Lepisosteus oculatus: one gene and its partner. The main gene of each other region encodes a partner of the protein of the gene in region 2 in a complex. Links are inferred from orthologs where the notes say so. Each region holds a gene or a part of one and is shown on either strand. Other genes may lie near its edges.

Region 1 (10,652 bases), on a different chromosome or scaffold from region 2:
GACTGGATGCTGGATGGGACAATATACAATCTGGACATTGAAATAAATGGCAGCATGTCTTTTGAAGGCATGACACCACTGGAGGACTCATAGAAAAACATGTGACCACAGAAGAAATGTGCAAGATCTACAAAGAACGTGTTGCAGACTGGAATCAAACCCAGTACCCAAGTGCTGTGACATACAGTAGTAGAACTGGGCTTAATTCTGGACCGAGGGTGCTGTCTGTGTGGAGTTTGTATGTAATCCCTGGGTTCACATGCTCCCACAGTCCAAATGCATACAGGTGGGTGTTGTTCCCGGTGTGAGTGTGCGTGTATCTGCCCTGTGAAGGACTGGTGTCCCACCCAGGGTGTTCCCTGCCTTGCACGTGTTGCTTGCTGGGATAGGCTCCAGCTCCCCCCTGACCCTGATTTGGAAGAAGCACTTGGAAGATGGATGGATTGTTGAATTTAAAATAGGTGTTAATATTTAGTCCAGTTCAAAAATAAGCTCAGATGTATGGCACCAGACTCAGTCATGTGCTGTGGCCTTCAAAATAACATGGAAGTTTCTGTTATTCCTCCTCTTATTTATAAACCATGTCTAAAAATATCTCCTGAGAAATGTCTCTGTTTCAAAGTTAGCCAAAGATTTAAAAGAGAAAATTAGGAGTTCTAAATTGTTCTGATTTATTGGACGGCATGCCCAAGGCAGATTTTGTTTTACAGGATATTGCTGTTGAGACAAACAAAGCCATCATAAAGACACTTCCTGAACCTGCTATCAGATAGGCCAGGCAGTAGCTGATATTTCAGAGGAAGAAACAAATATAAGTATGAGCATAAAATCCTGTCTTGTGTTGTGTTTCCTACTGTCATTTAGATACTGTTCAAGAAATGTCAACCTGAGATCTGAATTATATTCTGAACAAAGGACTATGAAATTATCTAACCAATTCAATCCAAGCAAATTTTAACTGTTTTGAATCAAACAACATTTTTAAAAATACACACTTATTTGTTACTTTTACATGTATCGACTGTTCACTTATACAGTATATTGGAAGTTAAAAAACTGCAGTGAATTGACCACTTCAGGAAACTTAGTGTTGTGAGGCTGTATAAACTAGCAGTAGATTATATTCAGATTATTGTGATAATAAATTAAGACGTGAATAAATTGAGTTTTCTGATTTATGATTTGTTTTGGAATTTAATCATTAATTCGGTTTATTCATTTAATATAATAATCTGTATTTTGTGACAACCTACATATTGTAACGCTTACGGCCGACAGGCACCGTGTAAGAGCCGGCGTACCAGAGCAGGTGACGTCACCGCCCTTCCCTGTGATAGCAGGACTACAGCTACTGAGCTGTAGAGAGATCTCTCTTTGGCTCACCGGGCTGGGTCCCTGTTGAGTGACGCGGGAGTCCCGGGTTTGAGCCCCCGACGGTGCGGGGCCGACCTAATGCGGCAAGGGCGCTCGCCTGAGCCCCCGTTGCGTTACAATATAATTTATGACTCTATTATGAGGCTGTAAATTACCAGCAGGTAGCACAGATCCATGAGTGTTATCACTGCTGTCTCACAGTTCTTGGTTTCTGGGTTTGATTCCAAAGTGTGGAGCAGTGGCTCTGTGGCTGTGACTGGAAGGCTGCAGGTTCAAATCCTGTGGCCAGCAGAAGAATCCTACACTGTTGGACCCCTGAGTGAGGCCCTTAACCCCCTGTGCTCTGACCCCCAGCTTCTCTCTCCCCATCTGTGTGTCTCATGGAGAGCAAGCTGGGGTATGTGAAAAGGAAAATGTATAATGCAAGAAATTGTATACAGCTAATAAAGTGATCTCATTTTATCTTATCTTTTGTATGGAGTTTACTTGTTTTTGCCAGGGCTGGGTGGGCTTTCCCCAAGGCTAGCTGTTGAGGTTAACTGGTGCTTCTCTCACTTGTCCCTGTGTGCCTGTGAGTGTACCCTGAGATGGATAAGCATCAGCTCCCACCTTCTGGAATATACTCTTGATTTCTGTGCAGCTCACTAAGAATAAGTGTCATAACTGATAACAGAATTAATCAGTCAGTACTTAATTTTATTGTTTAATATTAAACTATAAAGAAGATAAAAAAAATTCTTTTTTGCTGATGAATTGCTAATAACAGAGTTCAAACTGGGACAGAAAATGTTTATTGATATAACAACAACAAATGGTTGCTCTTTTACAGGGCTATAATATAATAATAATAATAAACTTTATTTTATATAGTGCCTTTAACGGTGGCTTCTCAAAGCGCTTTACAGGATGACAACAACAATAAATAAGAAGAATACACAAGATAAAACACAATTACAATATAAAGAGGAGACCGTGGATGGTGGTACTAAGAAAAGCAGAGGGGTGAAGAATGATGTATAATCAACACAATACATCTTTATCACTAAAACTTTAAAAAATACGCAGTAAAACCACTATTTTACACACTGGAAAATAGTAACTTATAGGAAGCTATGCATAAATATGAAAAATACAGTACATATGTAGTAAAACAGAACGACAGCAGTGCAAAACAAATTCAGTCATTGAAAACGAGTACAAATGAGTCTTTTTGTGGTAACTTACAGATGCTCAGCTCAAATCCAACATCGTGGGGCACAAGTGTGGCTCAATGAGGCATGATGTCCAGTAAATCAGTTCAAAATAAATAAAGGACTACTGACATCCTGCTGGAATTCTTACTTTTAGCTAAAACTGTGAAGGAGAGCGGTCTGAGGAAGCCGAGCTTCGAGGGCACCCCAGGAAATGGAGAGGGACAGGACCAGGCTGTCTGTGTATTTGCATCTAAGTGAAAGTGGAGGCAAAAAAGACTGAAGAGTCAGGGAATACACTGAGAGTCAACCTGCTGAAGAAAACAGGGGACATGGCGGGTTATGAAGGAGAAAGAAGAAACAGGAGTTAAGTGGGAGAAGACCAGTCAGCAGAGGGGCAAACCAGGGTGACATTCTCGAACAGGACACGAGTAATACAGGGAGCCAGTGTGGTTCAGGAAGGAAAGGAACTCCACGAGGGAAGCCAGGTTCCAGATGATGGGATTTTACAGATTACCAAGTTACAGTGGAGAGTAGAGAATGTGGCAGAAACAGGGAGGCCCACCAAGGGAGGCTGCAGCTGACCCAGCCAGGCAGAACCAAGCAGAGTCTAACAGGCTGCGAGGAGGGGGTAGAGTCTGCACCTGGGAGCCAGAAGCCACAGGATGAGCAAGTCAGGGAAGAGATGTGCTGAGAGGAGATATCAGGGTGACACCACGGTCCTCCTGCAGAAGTCAGAGGGCTATTTCCTCAAAGTCTTTTTTTTTGCATGGAAACGTGCAATCAAGCTTACACGCAGGAAACAGCCTTGGCTTTTCTTATCAGAAAGAAGGATCATTGGAACAAAAAAAGCATAGATCATTTTCCAGAAAACACTTCCAAATCTGGAGTCTTTAAACAGTCAGTAAATAGTCCTGAGCACAGCCATCTGTTAAAAGCAGATGTTTCACAGTTACAGGGTGTTAATAATATTTCTTTTTCTGTGCCAAAGGATCTTGAAATAGAACAGAACAAGAGGTTTTCTGATGAGGGCAATGACACATGTGGTGTCACTTTGTAATATTTTTAAGTAGGATATCTTGGTATGACTAAAACTGAATAATGATATTTGCAAATAGGATACAATGATTTTACCATACTATTTGCATTTAATACAAATGATGCAATAAACAATAACCTAATTTCTTGGTTGGAGAGTTTGTTTGGCATACCTTAAATTATTTAAATCTTACCTTGTTATGCATCAACACTTTATTCCTCTTGGCGATTTAGTTCTGAGGTCAGGTTGATTATATTTGGTGATCCACAGGGCTCAATTCTGTGCCCTTTGCTATGTAAGATTTATGGTTTGTCCTTGGACAAACAGTAAAATTGAATGGTCTGAGTTATTATTTTAATGTGGATAAAAATGGGTCCAGACTGAACCAGACACAGAGGTATCTGCTTCAGTAATCTGATTTTATTTCTGCTGTAAACTCTTGGGTGACACAAAAGGCTTTGCATCTTAATTGTAATAATATCGAGGTTGAATTATTGGGTTAACACCTAAGCTATAAAGCAAACGAAGCAAACTGAGGGCAATGTGTTTGATATTTGATCCATAATTAAGAACTGAGAGGAGAGGAAGAATTGTACAGAGTTTTGTAATGATACTTTTTTTCAATTTTAGAACTATTCTCAGCCTGCTCTCTGCTGTTTGTATTGGTAGTAATTATTACTAGCTTGGCTGAAACCTTCATCTAAAGCAGCTTTCCATTGCACTCCTTTGCACAGCCCAGTATTTTACTGGAGCAATTCTGAGAAAGTGCCTTGCTTAAGGGTACAACACCAGCACTGCACCTGGGATAGAAACCCGCTACTTAACAGTTACATGTCCAGAAAGCTAATCACTGCTGTAATCACACTCCTCCAAAACTGCATTCAAAAACTCACACCATGTTCAGAATTTGGCTGGTTGAATTCTGTCTAGATCAAGAGCACTTTACCATATCACTCCTGTCCTGGAATCCTCTCACTGACAGGATTCAAATTGCTATTAAAATCATTCTGCTTATGTTCAAGGCTGTGCACGGCCTGGTTTCTAGGTAGCTGATATTGCATCTGTTTATCCCATTCCACACAAATTTTGCCTACGTGATTGTTGTTTGCTGTGTGTTCCCACTGTCTACAGTATATTCTGTGGGTGACAGGGCCTTTTACAGCCCTGGAACACTGCATCGAAAGAAATCAGGGGTAGCCACATGGGGTGCTTCTATATTGTAATTGGCCTTTTTTTTAAGAAATGTGATTGTTTTATTGTCTGTATCTGCTTTGTTTGTTATACATTCTTTAATTTTATTGTAACATGTGATGTTTATGTAATGTATAGAGTGTGAAAATAGATATAAAATAACGTTTTGTTTTGTGATTGGTGTTGTTTTGTATATCGCGGTTGTAGCACAAAAGTTCTATGAATGTAGTGTTATAAAAAAACTATTCTCCTAGAAAGATGTTTAATTGTAATTAACTTTCACACGGAGACAAAAGAAATTCAAGTCAGACCACATCAAGGTTGAATAAATCTATGCCCTTCTTACGGTTCCTTCTCTTCAACATTGACTTAAACGATGTATTTGACACTAAAGAAAAGAGAGAGAAAACACTCACAAGGACTGGAAAGGATATTCTTTTCATTTAGATTTGGTTGGAACACAAACAAAAACGTAAATTAATTTACAGGACCGTCAGGACTGCACTCCTAGGTGAAGCCCCACTCAACTGCAGAACTGAACCCAGACAGCCAAGTCCTAGGTGGGACTCTCCCAAACTTTGGAATGTTGGACACCACGTGGTACAATTTTACTACTCCATTGATTGGGACTCGTATCCAATCTCGGCACTCCTACCGGAGAAGTTGAGCTTCCCAAACCAATCAGATGGGAAACAGGGCGGGTTGTGTGCCGGCGATGACGTCCTCGCCCCGTTAGATCCCAGGTTTCCCGACATGGCGTAAGAGAGGAAGGGATTAGGGACGGCGAAGGGAAAAAAAAGAGTGTTTTCAAGAACGACCGTGAAAGAAAATCTCGCCGCGTAGGATTTGCTTATTCGAGGAGTCTTGTAAGGATTTTGTGGGTGAGTGTGCTGGTTTGACGTCCACTGTCTTCCCAAAGCCTTTCATCCGATGAACTCTGTCTGTCTCTTTATCCGTTTTCCAGTTTTTACAGCTTTTTTTCGGGTCTCATCTGGAGCACTTCAAACGCGAATTCGCTCGAAACTTTTAATTGCGGCGATAGTACTAAATATCTATACCCGTCAGGCGAAGATGAAATCAAACATGTGAACGAAGGTGCTGCAAATCCCCAAACTTCAGTATAAACTAACTTTATTTTTTTAGGTGTAGGGGTAGTCTCTGCCGAATAGCTTTTCACTTAAGGGTTAGTCATTTCTGAAGTTTTCAGCGAAGCTACAAGTCAGATGAAATCTATAATGTCTGTGCCTACACAGTGAGGTTTAATGACCTTTGGTAGTTTTCGTGACAGACTTAATTTGTTTATGCTGTTTTTTTTTAGCTTGAAAGATTGGACCGAAGTTTTTATTTCTGTGGGTGTCGAACCATAACATGCAAACGTTTTTTTTTTTAATTTCATTAAAGGCTACACCTTGTTGGTCTCGCTTTCCAGCGTTTATGAAGTCGCAAATGCGGGAGAATAGACGTCGCCAGGTGTATTTTAAAGTCTAGACCTCTTCTTAAGCAGAAGTGTTGGGTTGCGCACGGACTCTTGGAGGCGGCTATCTGATGAGCGCCGTGCTGTGAGGGTGTTGCACTGCGTGCTGTATTTCCGTATGTTTTAAGCAGGCGTCTGTTAAAGAGAAATGGACCGGGAGAGAAGGAAAATCTGGCGTATTTCTTCTTGTTTTTAACCTGAGCTGCGATATCTCTCTCAGTCGACCCGTTTTTATCCGGTGCGCAATTGACCGTCAAGCCACGGTTTCGCTGGGGTCCTCTGGCCGCCTGGGGCTTTTCAGCTGCTGCGCTCCACGTTATCGGCACCTCCCCAAAGTCTTTAACAAACAGTAACAGTGTGTCTTTCAGTAGCACACGGAATCCAGTGGTCTGCCTCTGCTTATTCATTTTAATAAAGCGTCAGCGTGTTAATTCTCAATTTACGAAGTTTGGGAGAGCATTTTGCAAAGTCAGACTGGAGGGGTTGGAATATGAAACTCGACAGTTGCCTGATGTTGTAGCCGAAATAATGTAATTATCATCTTAGTATACTAGGCACAACACTTCTTAAGCCTTTTTTTTTTACGAGACCTCTGGCAAACCATAGAGGAATTGATGGCAGTATTTAACATTTTAAAAGTATTCCCCCTTCTTATTGGCCACTTCCTAGCAATTTTGTTTTTTGGGTGGTTTCGAAAGACTTCCCCCTAATTTCTTGTGTGTTAAAGGTAACATGGTTCGTTTCAGTTATCGTCATCACTATAACTGTGTATTGGGTGGAAATTACAGTTCCTTCCCAGACCAGACCCGAGACAAACTTGTGAATGTCTCTTACCAGCTGTGCCCTGTTTTTGAACTGTCCCATCACTCTTCTGTGTTTGGTGTGCACTCTGGTCGTGCTTATCATGTGACTGAAAAAACGCTGTTTAAATCGCCGACATGTTTACTGTTTATTACTCTTATTAGCAGAATCCTTTTTCCAACATGAGTTCATTGCCCCGCAACAAACAGTGACCTATAAGTTATTTGCAGTGATAGTATAGATGGTATAAGCAAAAGGTAATCTATAAATATAATGATTCAACATACAGACAAACCAAGATAAGGTTATTTTACTACAGAACAGTCTGAATTAATCTTTGAAATTGGTCCATATAAATATTATTTTATACTTAATGTAACTATACTTATACTTTATGTAATGTAATGGATAATAGTATTGAAGTGTTCTCTTATTGTCTTGCACATGTACAGTCACCACAACTTTATTGTTCCTCAAGAGCTACTACTTCTTTCAATGTCTTGTTGGTGTGAATGTTGGTGGCTATGGTACCATGCAGTAATGCATTTAACTAAAAGGGAAAAAAATAGAAGAGCGTCATTGCAGTTTGTTAGTTTTTATCTTGTTGTCCAATTTATAAGTCCACCAGATAGAACATTTTGAGAGCACGTTCCTGGCTCTATATCTCAAGCAGAGAGCGAGTCTCAGTTCACTTGGAGTACTGTACCCCTTGTAAATCAGAGTACTGATCCTAATCTGAAATCTCTGAATGTGCTGTATTCTGGTATTCGTGTTTCACAGTGTCATAAGCGTTAATGGGAAGTCTTTTAATAAAAAAACAACACATCACAGTCAACGTGTGCTTTCTATTTTAAAATAGGAATGACAAGACCTATTAATGCTGCTGTGTTGCTGGTACAGTATAACCCCTGACATCTCTTCAGTGTTCATGTGTGTCTGGATGCAGTACGTTTCTCTTCCTATATTTAAATCTGCACCTAGAAAGCTGTTTTTGTGATTCAGGTTCATTTCAGGTGGCAGCCTTCCAGTGTGACATTTACAGTACAATTTATGGATTTAAGATGAGGTTTTTAAGTTTCTGTTTTTGTCTCCAAACTAATCTTTCTGGCTGTCTCGGTTGCAAACGGCTAGAGATAGCCAAACACGTGGGTAAAACATACATTATAGACCTATCCTCAGAGCTGAGGCTGCAGAGAACTTGGGAATGTTTTCTTTTCCGATGCTCCAGCATGTGTTGTGTGTTTGTGCCATGATAGCTCAGATTTCCTGAGAGTGCAGCGCACGTTGACACTGACCATTTTTTGGAACAAGTTCGCTGTCCGCCGTCTTGAAAGGATTGCAGATCACCCAAGGCTAATGATCTGATTTGTTTTTATCTTGGAAGGACTGAGCTAAGTAGAAGAAACATCTCTATTGTGAGGTATTTGAAGTACCTGTAGGACAAAATGTTTTATATATCATGTGCACAACAATCTCTATTTAAGAGATTTCCAGTACTACGTGATTTAATGATTGCAAGTCTGCGTTTCCAGCCTGTCACCGATCCAGTCTTTTAATTTTAAAAATTTTGTATTTGGTAATAGTATATTCCAGATACAGAAGAGAAGAATCTGCAGGCATTCCATTAAACCTCCCCTAGTTTAACTGTTCTCGCGTTTCTGATGTCGCACTCTGCCCAGCAAGTTGTTTGTGGCTCTTTTTGACAAATTCATACCCGCTGAACCATTTGTAATAAATGTCAGATTTGTTTGTAGGCTGATGGTAAAGCTGAAAATATTTAAAGAAGAGCTTCCCAAACCTAGTCTGTGTGTCATTTTAGCATTTATCCCAGATGATGTCTTCGCTAACTAATTATACTTATTTTGAGTAATAAAATATTTACGTAGCTCAGCATCTTCAAAAGTGGTCTATATGTGACATACAACACAACAGTCATTCTTTGAGAATTCTCCACTGGATCAAGCACAGAGAGTCCCATGGGTTGGGTAGGAATAAAGCAGTCTAGGACAGTTTATGAAAGGAAGCTTTTCTTCAGACATGACTATGGTTTAAGAATCACTGTTTCCAGAGACTGTTTTTATCGGATGAGTAAGATTTAAAAAAAAAAACATTCATCACACAATGAAAATGTACAAGATACCCTATACTTATATTCTTAAGTGAGTCAGTTTTTCTATTGATCGTGGTGAATCGTATATTGGTATCTGAAATCTATAGCGTGTATGCTGTGTAAAACATCATAACTGTTCAGAAACCCTCATCAGAGCACTGTGTCCAATCTAGATATTTCCCCAGTGAGGCCTGCCACTGTATGCTTATCTTTCACTGTTTCTTTATTTTACAAGGTCAATCGCTTGAGCACAGTCTCCTGTGCAGTGAGGACCTTGAGACTCACTCACACTGCAGGGCACTTACAGGAGCTGTTTGAGTGGCATACTTGGCTCAAGGATGCAACAGCAGAGCCCTAACCTGCCCATCTCCTGTCCAGATTCCTAATCACTACTCTGCACTGCTGCCTGAACTTTCAGGATGTTTTATTATACAGTCGCAGATTCTTCCACTGCAATCTCCTTTTATTAACCCTTTTGATGCACAAAGCCATACCTTTCTTCAAATTTCCCCCTGGCATTTCACATTCATGGCCTCCTATGATGGATCCCCATCTATGTACTGGCTTCATCACTTTTCCCCCCTCCCCACTGAGAGCTGGTGTGTGCGGAGCGTACTGGTGCACTATGGCTGCCGTCGCGTCGTCCAGGTGGGGCTGCACACTGGTCTTTGTTACCTGTAAGGCGCATTGAGTGGAGTGTCCAGAAAAGCACTATAGAAGTGTAAGGAATTCTTCTTTGTTGTATACAAAGGAACAACAGCTGTTTATTTTTCTGAGCATTGTGTGAATGTTTGCTGAAAGCACACTGGAGATTCCTCATACCTCCTATGTTCTGGGGAGGGGGGGGGAGTCATTCACCAATGGAATGTAATTACAGACAAAATGACATTCCGTTAGTAAACAAACTGGGCAAGTCTGCAATTATGCTAGTGTGCTCTGCTTAGCCAGAGCATGTCCTCTTCCTGCTGTGTGATGTGGCATTCTGTGGTGACCACTTGCACAGATCTGCACTTCTTGTCCTGGCAAGAAATAACCCATAGTGAGTCTGTCTCTTCACACGTCTCCTGCTGGAATCTAGAGCTAATGTGTTGTGTGATATGGGGAAAAAAATGGATATCATTAGCAACACATTTTTTTGACTAATTACACTGAGAAGATTCTACTCCTGTAGATTCTGTAGTGGGGTTCTATATGGTTTGTGATTTTCCACATGAACAGTAATGTAGGCTTTGAATCAAGACTCATCCATCAAAATACAGGTATGGATGTCACTTCTCAAACGTGACATGGCAGTGAGCGGTATCAAGGCAAAATCTAGCAGGAGGAATACTGTAGTTTATATTGTACCAGAGTTTTAAATGAAGGAGCAGTTAAGACTCTAATGTTCGGATTCTAGTGTAAGAAACCTCTTTGCAACTCAACTGCTTCACACTGATGTGATTAGTGTACTACATTTCCTTACTGTGAAGTCAA
Region 2 (11,027 bases):
TACCAAAGAACTTCAGCTCAGGCATGGTCTAAAGGTGGAGAGATTGATCATTTCCTTTGATGGTTCAATACATATGCACCAAATTAATATATATGTTGTACATGATCATTATACAGCACACATGGACAAAGGTGTCAGCTACATATCTGAGACACATTCTATTAACATCTTGATAAGCAAAATGATTTTTTCCACAAAATGTATTTATAAAGGTATATCCAAAGCAAAAGATTGCAATGAACTGTGAAGGTGGTGGATAGCAATCCTTTATATTAGCTGATACTACAAAGGCACCAGGCACGGGACATGGCTATTGGATAACTGAAAGTATCTAATAGAAACTCACAGGATGACTTATAAGATCCCTAGCTTTGCACAAGAGAGGGATGCCATTTGATCAACAGCTGATGCCTTCACTGGAAACACGGGTCACACACTTCACAAGATCAAAGAGAATCAATGCAAGATCGGTAACCTTTGTCCTGTGTTTAAAACCGAAGCAGGCAGACTTGTATGTGCTGCTCCAGCTGTGCGCAGAATAGTGAATTTCTCACATTTCAACCTCCACAGATACCATATGCTGCTGAAGGATGTCAGGGAGGGACTTCAGCTGAAGCACAGACAGGGCGTGATGAAGGGACAGTTGGACACGATTCATACTTTATGACAAGCTGCCTACCCCAGAACAGAACTGTGGGCTGGCTGCAAGAGGCCGCTGGAGCTCCACAGAGGTTTCTCATGGTCATTTAAAAGGTCATCCTCCAGAACACCCTCCTCGTTCTCTTCTAACCTTGGCCACCTACTATGCGTTAACATCTCCTCACCAGCTGCTACAGTTATTCAGACAAAACGTCTCTCATCCTCAGGCTGCTAAAAAACAAACTTGATCTGACGACAAGCACTTGTTTCTCTTCTTTTTATAATGAATGTGACAGCAGTCTTTCAAAGTTTTCACGGCACTTAATACATCTAAGCTACTCTGTGTCTCTGCTACGCTCTGCTACTGTACAATGATCTCATTGTGCACTACCAGCTTTATAATGCATATGCTGGCATACCGTGAATTTATGAGGGAAAGGGCATCACCGACTTGAACTTCAATATCTCAATATTTTCCTCAGTGACATTTTGGAGAAACGTGCTTTTAGTTTATTTTATGTTACAATCAGAAAGACCCAGTTATTTTGACATAGAGATCAGGAATGTCTTATTCTTTCACTGAGGGGAATGTTTATCTTTACAAAGAATTAAAAGGCAAGGCCTCCCGGTACACATGCAGTCCGTACATTGCAGTGCATTCAAAGTAAGAATCCTGTTGACGTTCACAGCTGGAGACAATGAAGCTTTGTCCGAGTGGAGCTGGTCTGGGAAATGGCTGATCTGTACCACTGTGTGCAGGGGAAACTGGGAGGAGGCCGAAGTTGTCAGCTTTTTTTCCTGTGCGTTATTGAGTGCCCAGTCTCCTCCACTGCTAGAACAGTAAGCTCACAACCTGCACTCCCGGCATAGGAGGGCAAAGACTAAATGAAGATATTTTTCCTATAGACATAACTGGAGAGAGAAACATCACAGCACTGACGCTTGCAGAAAGAGACAGTGCCTCCAAGGTTTATTCTACGTACTTTTTTTCACATTGAGTGAACAGGGAGCAGGAGTGTTTCTGCTGAAAAGACACTTGAGGACCTTTCCTGTAAATGTTCTTACAACTTGATTAAATGTGGAATTACAAAAAGTAAAACTACTGTGAATTGTAACAGCTGAAATTGTTCCATATCTGTGTATTGATTTTGTTTTGCTTCACAGGGAATTTTTACACAGGGCAGAACATCTCTTTAAATGAAAAGAGTGGTAGAGTAGTTGCATTTTCATTTTTCAAAGGAAAATGTTCAAAAAATTCAATTAACACTGGATAATCTTTGACCTCAAAGTGTTTCCTTTTCCTACCGCATGTAAGTCAGGGGAAGACTTCCCTTGCATGTTAGATCCCTTAACATTTACTTTTTGGGCTCTGCTTGAAAGCACCTTAACTGGAAGCAGGCTGTAACGCTCTAAGTTATTATCACAAGTGGCGTAATGGAGAGCCAAAACAGAATGAAGAGGTATTCATCAGCTCCAGCAAATTTAAACCAAATGCCCAAAGATCTGGTGGAGGTCCAGTCTGTCTGTGGGAACTCAGTAATCCCTATACAGGCAGTAGGAGCTCACCTGTGTTGTCTTTCTGCACTCAGAAACCGCTGGGGTCCAGCTGTATGTCTTGAATCACACACAAGCAGCCTTCAGGCTCGATGTGAGATCTATTAATATTAATGAACAGCTAGAGCACAACTGTCCTCTATTCAAGAGCAGTGCCGGTTTAGGACATTTAGCACTGCAATCCCAAAATCTGCCTACGGCCCACCACACTAGTAAAGCCAACAGTCTAATAGGTTGGAAATAACGATCTGAAAAAACAATGACCGCACTGCTGTACGCATGACAGCAGGTGGCAGAGACGTTTGTAAAAGCAGAGCTGGACACAGTGACGATAAGCAATGAAGGGCAGAAGGAATTCAAGGTTTCAGCTCAGGTCCTGAACCATCAAAGGAACTTCACCTTCAGTGAGGTCCTTTACAACACCTCAAAAAGCCTCACAATTGAATATAGGTCCTTTAAAAGATTCAGCACTGTCGCAGTCGCCAGAGATATCGTCGAAACAGAGATATCGCTTGCTCGCATATCTTCCAAGGAATGTGCAGTAAGCTATCCATTACGTTTTGCTTCTGCTCAATTATTTCGCGAGTGTGGACTGACAGGATAATTACTTACAAGAAGACCAGAAACTTACCATGTGAAAATGCCCGCTTGAGGCTATGGGTGAAGTGAATGTGGGTTGCGGCTCGGGAGAGGGTGGAATCGCACAGATGGGCGATTGTGGATCGGCGCTTCGCGGACACCTGACATCTGACAGGGAGCAGAGCCGGGTGTAGAGCCCAAGTCCCTGTGCCCCACCTGCAGCGCTCTGTAGCGCCCCGACACCCTGTCCGCCCCTGAGCCGCGCTCCGGAGGAATTCTAATTATGCACGCTCTGGCGCATGTGACAGGCGCTCCAGACACAACAAAGCAGACTTTCATCGCGCTGAGGCTCGTCTAACTGACCTGGTCTGGGCTACAGCGGCATGCAATACCTAACGACATACCACCAACATAATAACCAGTTTTAGATAACACGCAAAAAAAACCCCAATAAAGGACACCTTTCAACCGTTTCTTCAACTTTTAACCTATCAACAAAAAACAAGACAACAAAAATGCACCACTGCAAACTTAAAAATTATGGTATCAATCTTTTTTTTTTTTTAAAGCCGTTCGTTTCCACGGGGTCAGTTCGTAATTCGATAGAGCAATTCTCTTCTGAGGACCTGCTCGGGTAACATATAGCGACTTACCGTTTTGGAAACGGAGCTGTCAGTGTCAGGCATTCTTGCTGTTGTGGTTGCTCTTGGATTTTGGAGCGAGCAGGAGAAGGAAAAGACCAGAACAGTCAGAAATCCAGATGCGCAAGTGCGCACGCACGCAGAAAAGTTGTCCGTGTCAGGCAGGAGTCCGGGATGCGGGATGTCCGGCGCCGCTGAGGCATCGCACTACGCCCCCGGGGGCAGCCCTGCGCGCCGGGTGCCGGTCCGCTTGCGCCGCCCGCGCTGCTCCCTCGCGCTCTCCCTCGAGCTCCGGAATGCGCAGCAGCTGGAGACCTCGGGGTGCGTGCCGACTGCAGACCGGGGGGGGCTCAGCCGGCCGGCCAGCCAGGAGCGCGTGGAGCCACTTTTCTACAGCGGACAACAACAACAAGGTGTAGAGCTGACCAGAGTCTTTGAAATCAGACCCCCCCCCCCCCAAAAAAAAATTGGAACCCCAAAGACGCGTATATTTCCCAATCCCCACTCAACTGTCGCAAAAACAGCCCGATTTTTTTTAATGCGCGTTGCTTCGCAAAAGGCTAGGCGTGTGAAATTCGGAAACCTGACGCCTCCCGGAGCTGCTTCGGAAAGCGGTGTGTCGGAGATCGCGCGGCGAGTCTCCACGGGCCAGGAGGTGTTTCCTGTGTGAATCTACCGTATGTATGCAGATGCCAGGGACCGCGCCAAGATGCGAAGCTGTGTGCTATTGAAACATACTTTTCTTTTGATTTTTGTTTGTTTTCCGGAGGGGGGTTAAAGACCAGTCTTCGTCAGGATCCTTAAAATCGCAGTGATCGCGGAAAACGCTGGATGTTCCGGCAAACGTTCAATCTTTAGGAAGACGGTCTCCAGCTGAGCCCAACTGTAACGAATCGATCGATCTGATTCGTCGGCATACCTTGCCGGCGTCGAGTCCAGACCAGGCACGGTGAGCGGCGGCCGCGGTCGGGTCCGGCCCGGTCCGGTCCGGCTCGGACCCGCAGCTGCGGAGCGGAAAGGCTGAGCGGGTTGGGACGTGGCGGAGCGCGGGAGCCGGCGTGTTTATCGCCGCGGAAATCGCCACGGCACATGTCGTGGATTCCAGTGCAGGAGACCGAAGCGGCTCGGGGCTGCTTCAGGTTTCACGGTGGGGGAAGGATCTCCAGAGTAAACAGGAAGCCTCTGAGCTGGGCTGCGGCCCGGGCTGAGAGCCCGTGTGATCGTGCTGACCTGTGCTCTCCTTCCCCCGGCCTGCGGTGGGGTTATACAGGACGGCAGCGAGCACCTCCAGTGGGGGCAGTTCGGGCTGGACGGGGGCACTAACGGAGCAGGACTCAAACACACACACACACAGAGGGAGGTCTCTCCAGAGCTCTTTGCTCTGCTGTAAACTCAAATGTCTTATCTACAAGTCAAATCAAGATGGAATTATCCAAATGATTATCGGATTTAATATCCAATTATCCAATTTACCTGAAGAAGGCTCCACAGCCAAAGTATTGTTTTCTTCCTTCTCTTTTCAGCAGGGAATAAACCTATTACTTGTTCCTTAGCCAAATATTGCTCTCTCTCTCTGTCTGTGTGTTGTCTACTTTTAGACTTACACTATCAACCTTACACTTGTTTTAAAATGACTTTAATAATTCCTCACACTTATATAGCGCTTTTCTGGACGCTCCACTCAAAGCACTTTACAGGTAATGGGGATCCCCTCCACCACCACCAGTGTGCACCCCCACCTGGATGGTGTGGCGGCAGCCATAGTGCGCCAGAACGCTCACCACACACCAGCTCTCAGTGGGGAGGAGAGCAGAGTGATGAAGCCACAACATAGATGGGGATTATTAGGAGGCCATGATTTGGTAAGGGCCAATGGGAAATTTGGCCAGGACGCCGGGGTTACACCCCTACTCTTTTCAAGAAACGCCCTGGGATTTTTAATGACCACAGAGAGTCAGGACCTCGGTTTTACGTCTCATCCGAAGGACAGGCCTCTTTTACAGTATGGTGTCCCCGTCACTATACTGGGGCATTAGGACCCACACAGACTGCAGGGAGAGCGCCCCCCCCTGGCCCCACGAGCACCTCTTCCAGCAGCAACCTTAGCTCCTCCCAGGAGGTCTCCCATCCAGATACTGACCAGGCTCACACCTGCTGAGCTGCAGGGTGACATGGCTGCTGGCTGACTTTAAGATACAAACTTCTACCGTGAAAACTTTCAATCCCAAAGTGTGGGAACCTCTCCTTCAGCTTTTTCCTTTGGTCAGGTGGGAAATGCCAGGATGCCATACAGCAGCACTGCCACCCTCAGGCTGATCTCCAGAGCTGGGCCTCCCCAGTGAGGAGCTGGCAGGCTTCTCGGGGGGAGGGAGGGTCACTTCTGCAAGCGGTGTTGGCCGACCAGCAGGTGGCGCACTTTCCTCTCGACCGGAATCTCCCATCCGGGGCCCAGTCTGGTGACCTGGAGCGATGTGCAGGAGCAGGTGTCCTCTTCCAGCTGGGATGTGAAATCGAGGTGCTTGGTTTAGCCAATGACTGGGTGTGGCTCACAAGAGCAGGACTGAAGAGAACCCACACCGGCGCTCCAGAGACAGATCAATCTAGCCTCCCTAGATGTCCTCCTTAACTCACTGAGTGCGGTCGTTTCTCACCTGTCCAGCAGATGCAGAGTGGCTGCTGTGTGCTGCCCATATGTTCGTGGTGAAATGCTCTAGAAAAATGCATGTAGTTGTTGGTATTATTGTATAGAATTAAAGAATTATCTGTGGATTATTTACAAAACAAAAAAGTGTACCGGGAGAGTACACTACGATTAGAACAGCTTTTGTAATGAATCTGTGCTGAGAGGACATGAGAGGGCTGACTCTCCCAGCGTGTCATCATCGGCCTGCTTCTCCAAAAACCACGGCTCAACCTGTCCGATCCAGCTGCTGCTGGTGAACAAAGACGTATTGCTGCATCTTCAGGCAGCCCTCTCGGAGTGAACTCTGGGGGGAAAAGTTTCCAACACTGAATCTGTAACTGCAGGAGACAGATAAATATAAATCACAAAGCAATAGGCTATAAACGTTCGTGGTCACATCACTACATCAGCACTGTTTGTTATATTAAAAAATATATTTTTACTGGTTAAATTAAGAATGCAATATATTACCCTTTCCCCTTTAAGAAAAAAAAAACACGTCAGTTGGAAATTATTTATTTGGCCACTTCACAAAACTTGTTTATTTCAAACATTTCTCAACTATTACATGACCGTCTCTAGTATAACAGCTCATGAAAGAGTTAATTAAAGTGCATCACAGAAACACTATATTGATTGTACAGCATGTCTAAAGGATCTGAAAAGGATTTTGACACTATAAATGAATTTGAATAAGACAGGAAATGGTGGTGTGCTCTCATTCCAAAACAGCATTACGACATGCAAAGATGGGTTTTCCAAATTGAATACCTGACATTTATTTACTAAAGAGAGTATCAGCTGGACGATGAAGCCAATTACTTCACTGTCGTTCACAAATTCACTGTCTTTTATGAATCTTGCATACAGAGATGAATGACGTCATCTAAAAGATAGCTACTGGCATTCTTCTGAAATGGAGTTACATATCCATTACCTTGGAGCTCCACAGTGTTGCTATGGTGACGAATAACATTCCAAACAATTTTACCAGGGATTCTGGTTACAATCAGCAGAATGTATCCTAATGGACACCACTGGCTTATCGAACCCAAAGCCACGAGTTTCCCACACAACATTACCAACATAAAGTTGCCAACATTACAGTCAGCTGAGCAACCCTTTAATAGTAACAGTTTAAAAGCTTTTCAAGGATATTCAGCATATAAAAACGCATCCTACTTCAACGGAAGAGTTGCTGTCTTTTCAATGAATAGCTAGCATATGTCAATGTGCAGTAACACACTTTGGTGCATGCCTCAGGAATAAGCTGTAGCTTTTCCAGTTTGGGTTTACTAAAGAAGTTGTGTGTTTTTAATAAAAATGCAAACACACCTAAAGCACAGACAGATCTTTCTCACCCCCTTCTCCCACAAGTCCACCCCTGCCAGCCTCCTGATGACTTTCGGGCCTGTCCAGAGCAATCAAGCCCCCCAGCAGTGCATAACAGGACAACATCTTCCCATTACTGTTTGCTTTTCAATTACACAAAGACTTTGCAAATTACTGCTTATCTTGACAAGTGGCCTATTCAACAGCTTGCACTGTGTTTACACATGAGATCAGAATTCATGGCTTTCAATGTCCCTTTAAGTGCCGCACTGCGCTATAAATTCAAACTCTCTCTCTGGGCACCTGAGTTGAGCAGCCTTTCGAAACAAAACACTGAACCTGGGAATGAAATATAACCTAGAGAAGATAAAGCTTGTTCTTGAACACATCTCTGCTGCCACATTGTTCCAACATTCCAGTGGAGTGAATGTCTTTTGTCATAAAGTCTTTGCCTTGGTGCTGTTACAGGCATTCAAAATATCACAGTATAGCTGTTGAGAATCACAGTGTTAGGAATGAGTCGATCACTGACATCTAATAAGAAAGATTAATGCACACACAAAAAGAGAATAAAACAACAACAATAATAATAAGCTGTAAAGCTGTATGAATATCTACACTACTCCTGGACACATTACTCTTTCAACGACACTCTGTCATTGTTGCCAATGGATCACAAGGTATCGTGAGGCTTGTAGGGGTATCAGATACACCTGTGGGGAGGACTCTACCCTCAGGGCTCCACTGTGCGAAAATCAGGCTCCATTCAAATACCCAGACAGAGCAATCAGACAGTCACAGCCTCAAGTCCATGCATGGCTCTGTGCGAGGGCATGCGGCTGATATCATCTGGGAAACACTTTCAGGAATGCAGTTTTCCCTCTGAAACTCGTAGACACAGTAAGGCTATTCCCCGGATTGATTCAGCTTACATGGTAAAGAAAAACACAAACAAAAAGTCTCCTGGAATCTGTTTCCCATCACCCACGCTACGCGTGCAAAATGCCAACAGAGCCTCAGGCAAGACCAGCTGTGGCAGTGCAGAGACATAGATGATATCACCTAGCTCTTTCTTCTGTTTTACAAATATTACTTACGGATCTGCAGACAGGAAGCAAAGCATCTATTGCTTCCTGCACGGAATGTGATAAAATATTTTTTTTCCATATGGAAGTTTCAAACTTCCCATCTCGAAAATGTAATTGTAATTGCAATTAAATAAAAAAGTAATTGGCGAAATTAGAAGTACTGTCTGGTTGAATATTCTGTTTTAGATATAAACCATGCTGCTTTTAAATCAAAAAGTCATTTTTTTCACATCAAAACAGGTTATAAAATCATATCAAATTGCATAGTGTTGACATGAAGGATCTGCTGGTGAGAAAAAAATAAGTTAAATGTTTGTTGTTGGAAAATAGATTTGTCTTGAATTCGATAGTCGGTAGAAGTTAAAACAGCAGGTCACAAGGGGAAAAACAAGTCTCCTCAAATTCCAGGGTGATGCATGTGAACCAGCAGCAGTTTTGGAATGTTGCTCTGTTCTTGGTGAAACGTGACTGGGATCGAAGGTGAAACAAACTGGAACACAAGGGACTGGACTGGGAGCCTGGGGCTGATGACACAGGGAACGCCAGTGCGCCGATGAGGTGGGATCATCTGTCTGATGAAGGGTAGGTCCCTACAGTCCACTGCCTATTCTCAGGCTAATTGAACCTATCCAATGATTACAGTATTTCCTTGGATAGACCTATTCATAACCCATTTCAGAATTTAACAGAGTAATTGGACCTAGAATTGGCATTAACGCTGTACCAGGAACTGATTATCAGAACACTCTCCCTTCTCAATTAAACCCATGCATAATTAATGTTTAATAGGAATGCTTATTACTGGAGTGTGTCACACAACCTAATTTCCAGCTTTGTCTGTGTCCACGTTATTGGCAACCGAGCAGTTCAGACACATACAGGTGAGCAGCAGTTAATTAAAGACGCCAAAGACAAGCCGCCCTCAGTTCTGTTGGCTAAATATCTTGGCCGAAATACTACAATGGCAGAGAAGATCTGAAGCAAAGAACTGGGGAGAAGATCCTTATTTAGAAAACACTACTCTTATGTGTTAATTAAAACATCGTGGGCAAACTGTAGTGGAAGGTCTGTCCTTGCATAAGGTTGCCAAAAGGTTACCAGGGTGGGTACCCTTCTGTGCCTTTACCTATCTTGAGAACAGAAGAAGAGTTACAAACCAGAGGCGGCCATTAATCCTCTCCAGTTTGTTTGGTAATTAGTAGCTAGTTGATCCCAGGTTCCGTCCAGCTCTTTCTTGAAAGAAACCCGGGCGTTAACTTCAGGAACATGGCTGGGTAGCTTGTCCCACGCTCCCGTGAAGCTTTGTGTAAGAGCGCCTTCTGCTCTGTTTTAAATGTGCTTCTCCCGAGTTTCCACTTGTGCCCCCTGGTTGGTATTTCACCGCTGATCCTGAAGAGGTCCCCTGGGTTCACTTTCTCAGTGGCTTTGAGGATTTTGAACACTCTGTCCCCTCAGATCTCTCCCTTTCTGGACTCCTCCCAGCAGTCAGCGTTGAATATCCTAATGGCATAAAAACAGCAGCAGTTGTAGAGTTTTGGGCTCAGAAGGCCACTTTCTGGATACAGCACACTGCCAGGAGGAGACTGCGGTTGGCGGCCCGATTAGGAATCCAAATTGAGAAACTCCAAATTGCCCCATTGCACGGTCCAGAGCTGGGCTGCCAATGTGGCTTGTGGCTAAATTTCCAGGGTCCATTTTTCAACATCTGTCACACTTCTGACCCTTCAGTGGTTCACCAAACAATAAGAAACCAGCCCTTCAGTTCTCAGGTCATTATTGCCAGTCTCCGAATTGTCAAGTCCTATTTAAGAGACAAACAGTGCATCTGCCTATAATTGCTCCTGCCAAGGCAAGCATATTTTTTATGGTACAGTAAGGATTTAAAAAATGCCAGAGACCAATACAGCATCTTTAAAGTAAGGCAGAAGCTTAAATCCTGGTTTTAATGGGAGCATACGCAGTATCAGAGGAATTAGAGATTAGTGTCATTTTTACAATCTACCAGCTTGCCTTTTCACTGTTTCAACCATACCCTGTGGAAAATAATGCACATTTGCTTTTTTTACCTTAATCATAACGTGAAATTCTTGATAAATACCCTACATCTATGCTATGCTTTACTGAGGATTGTGTGTAAAGGCATGGGGTGGCTGGTGTCAGTTCGGTCTGAGAGCCCTGCAGCAGCACATTGACTCAGAGAATTAACACTATGTGCCTCTGCGGGAAATGCTGGCATTTCTCGAATGGCTGATTGCATACACACAGGGAACTCTTAAACATGTGCTCTAAAGCTTACTCACACAGTGCTTGAGGCTGCTCTGCTTGACTGATTTGCTGTGGTCTGTCTTTGGCTGCGGGTTGGTACTGCTCCTTGCCTGTAGTTTACTGAATGCACACCATCTATGATGGAGCACAGCTGTTGAGGGAAATCTGGATTAAAGACTGATGTCATCTCATAATAGTGCAGGGTCAGACATCTGATGATCTTTATATTTCTGACTCTCTTATTCA

The links.
Region 1: phldb2b (region 2) and ppfibp1b share a complex: the UniProt entries of both Homo sapiens proteins name them as parts of the cortical microtubule stabilization complex. The link is inferred for Lepisosteus oculatus from reciprocal best matches to the Homo sapiens genes PHLDB2 and PPFIBP1.

Annotation. Positions count from the first base shown.
Region 1 is NC_090702.1:53,711,747-53,722,398, reverse strand, and holds the start of ppfibp1b (liprin-beta-1b), read left to right. Parts: upstream 1-5,514; 5' UTR 5,515-5,675; intron 5,676-10,652. UniProt on the Homo sapiens protein: May regulate the disassembly of focal adhesions. Did not bind receptor-like tyrosine phosphatases type 2A.
Region 2 is NC_090700.1:5,139,777-5,150,803, reverse strand, and holds the start of phldb2b (pleckstrin homology-like domain family B member 2), read right to left. Parts: upstream 4,665-11,027; 5' UTR 4,152-4,664; exon of another isoform or gene 3,804-4,151; 5' UTR 3,459-3,803; coding exon 3,426-3,458; intron 3,031-3,425; exon of another isoform or gene 2,828-3,030; coding exon of another isoform or gene 2,825-2,827; intron 1-2,824. UniProt on the Homo sapiens protein: Seems to be involved in the assembly of the postsynaptic apparatus. May play a role in acetyl-choline receptor (AChR) aggregation in the postsynaptic membrane.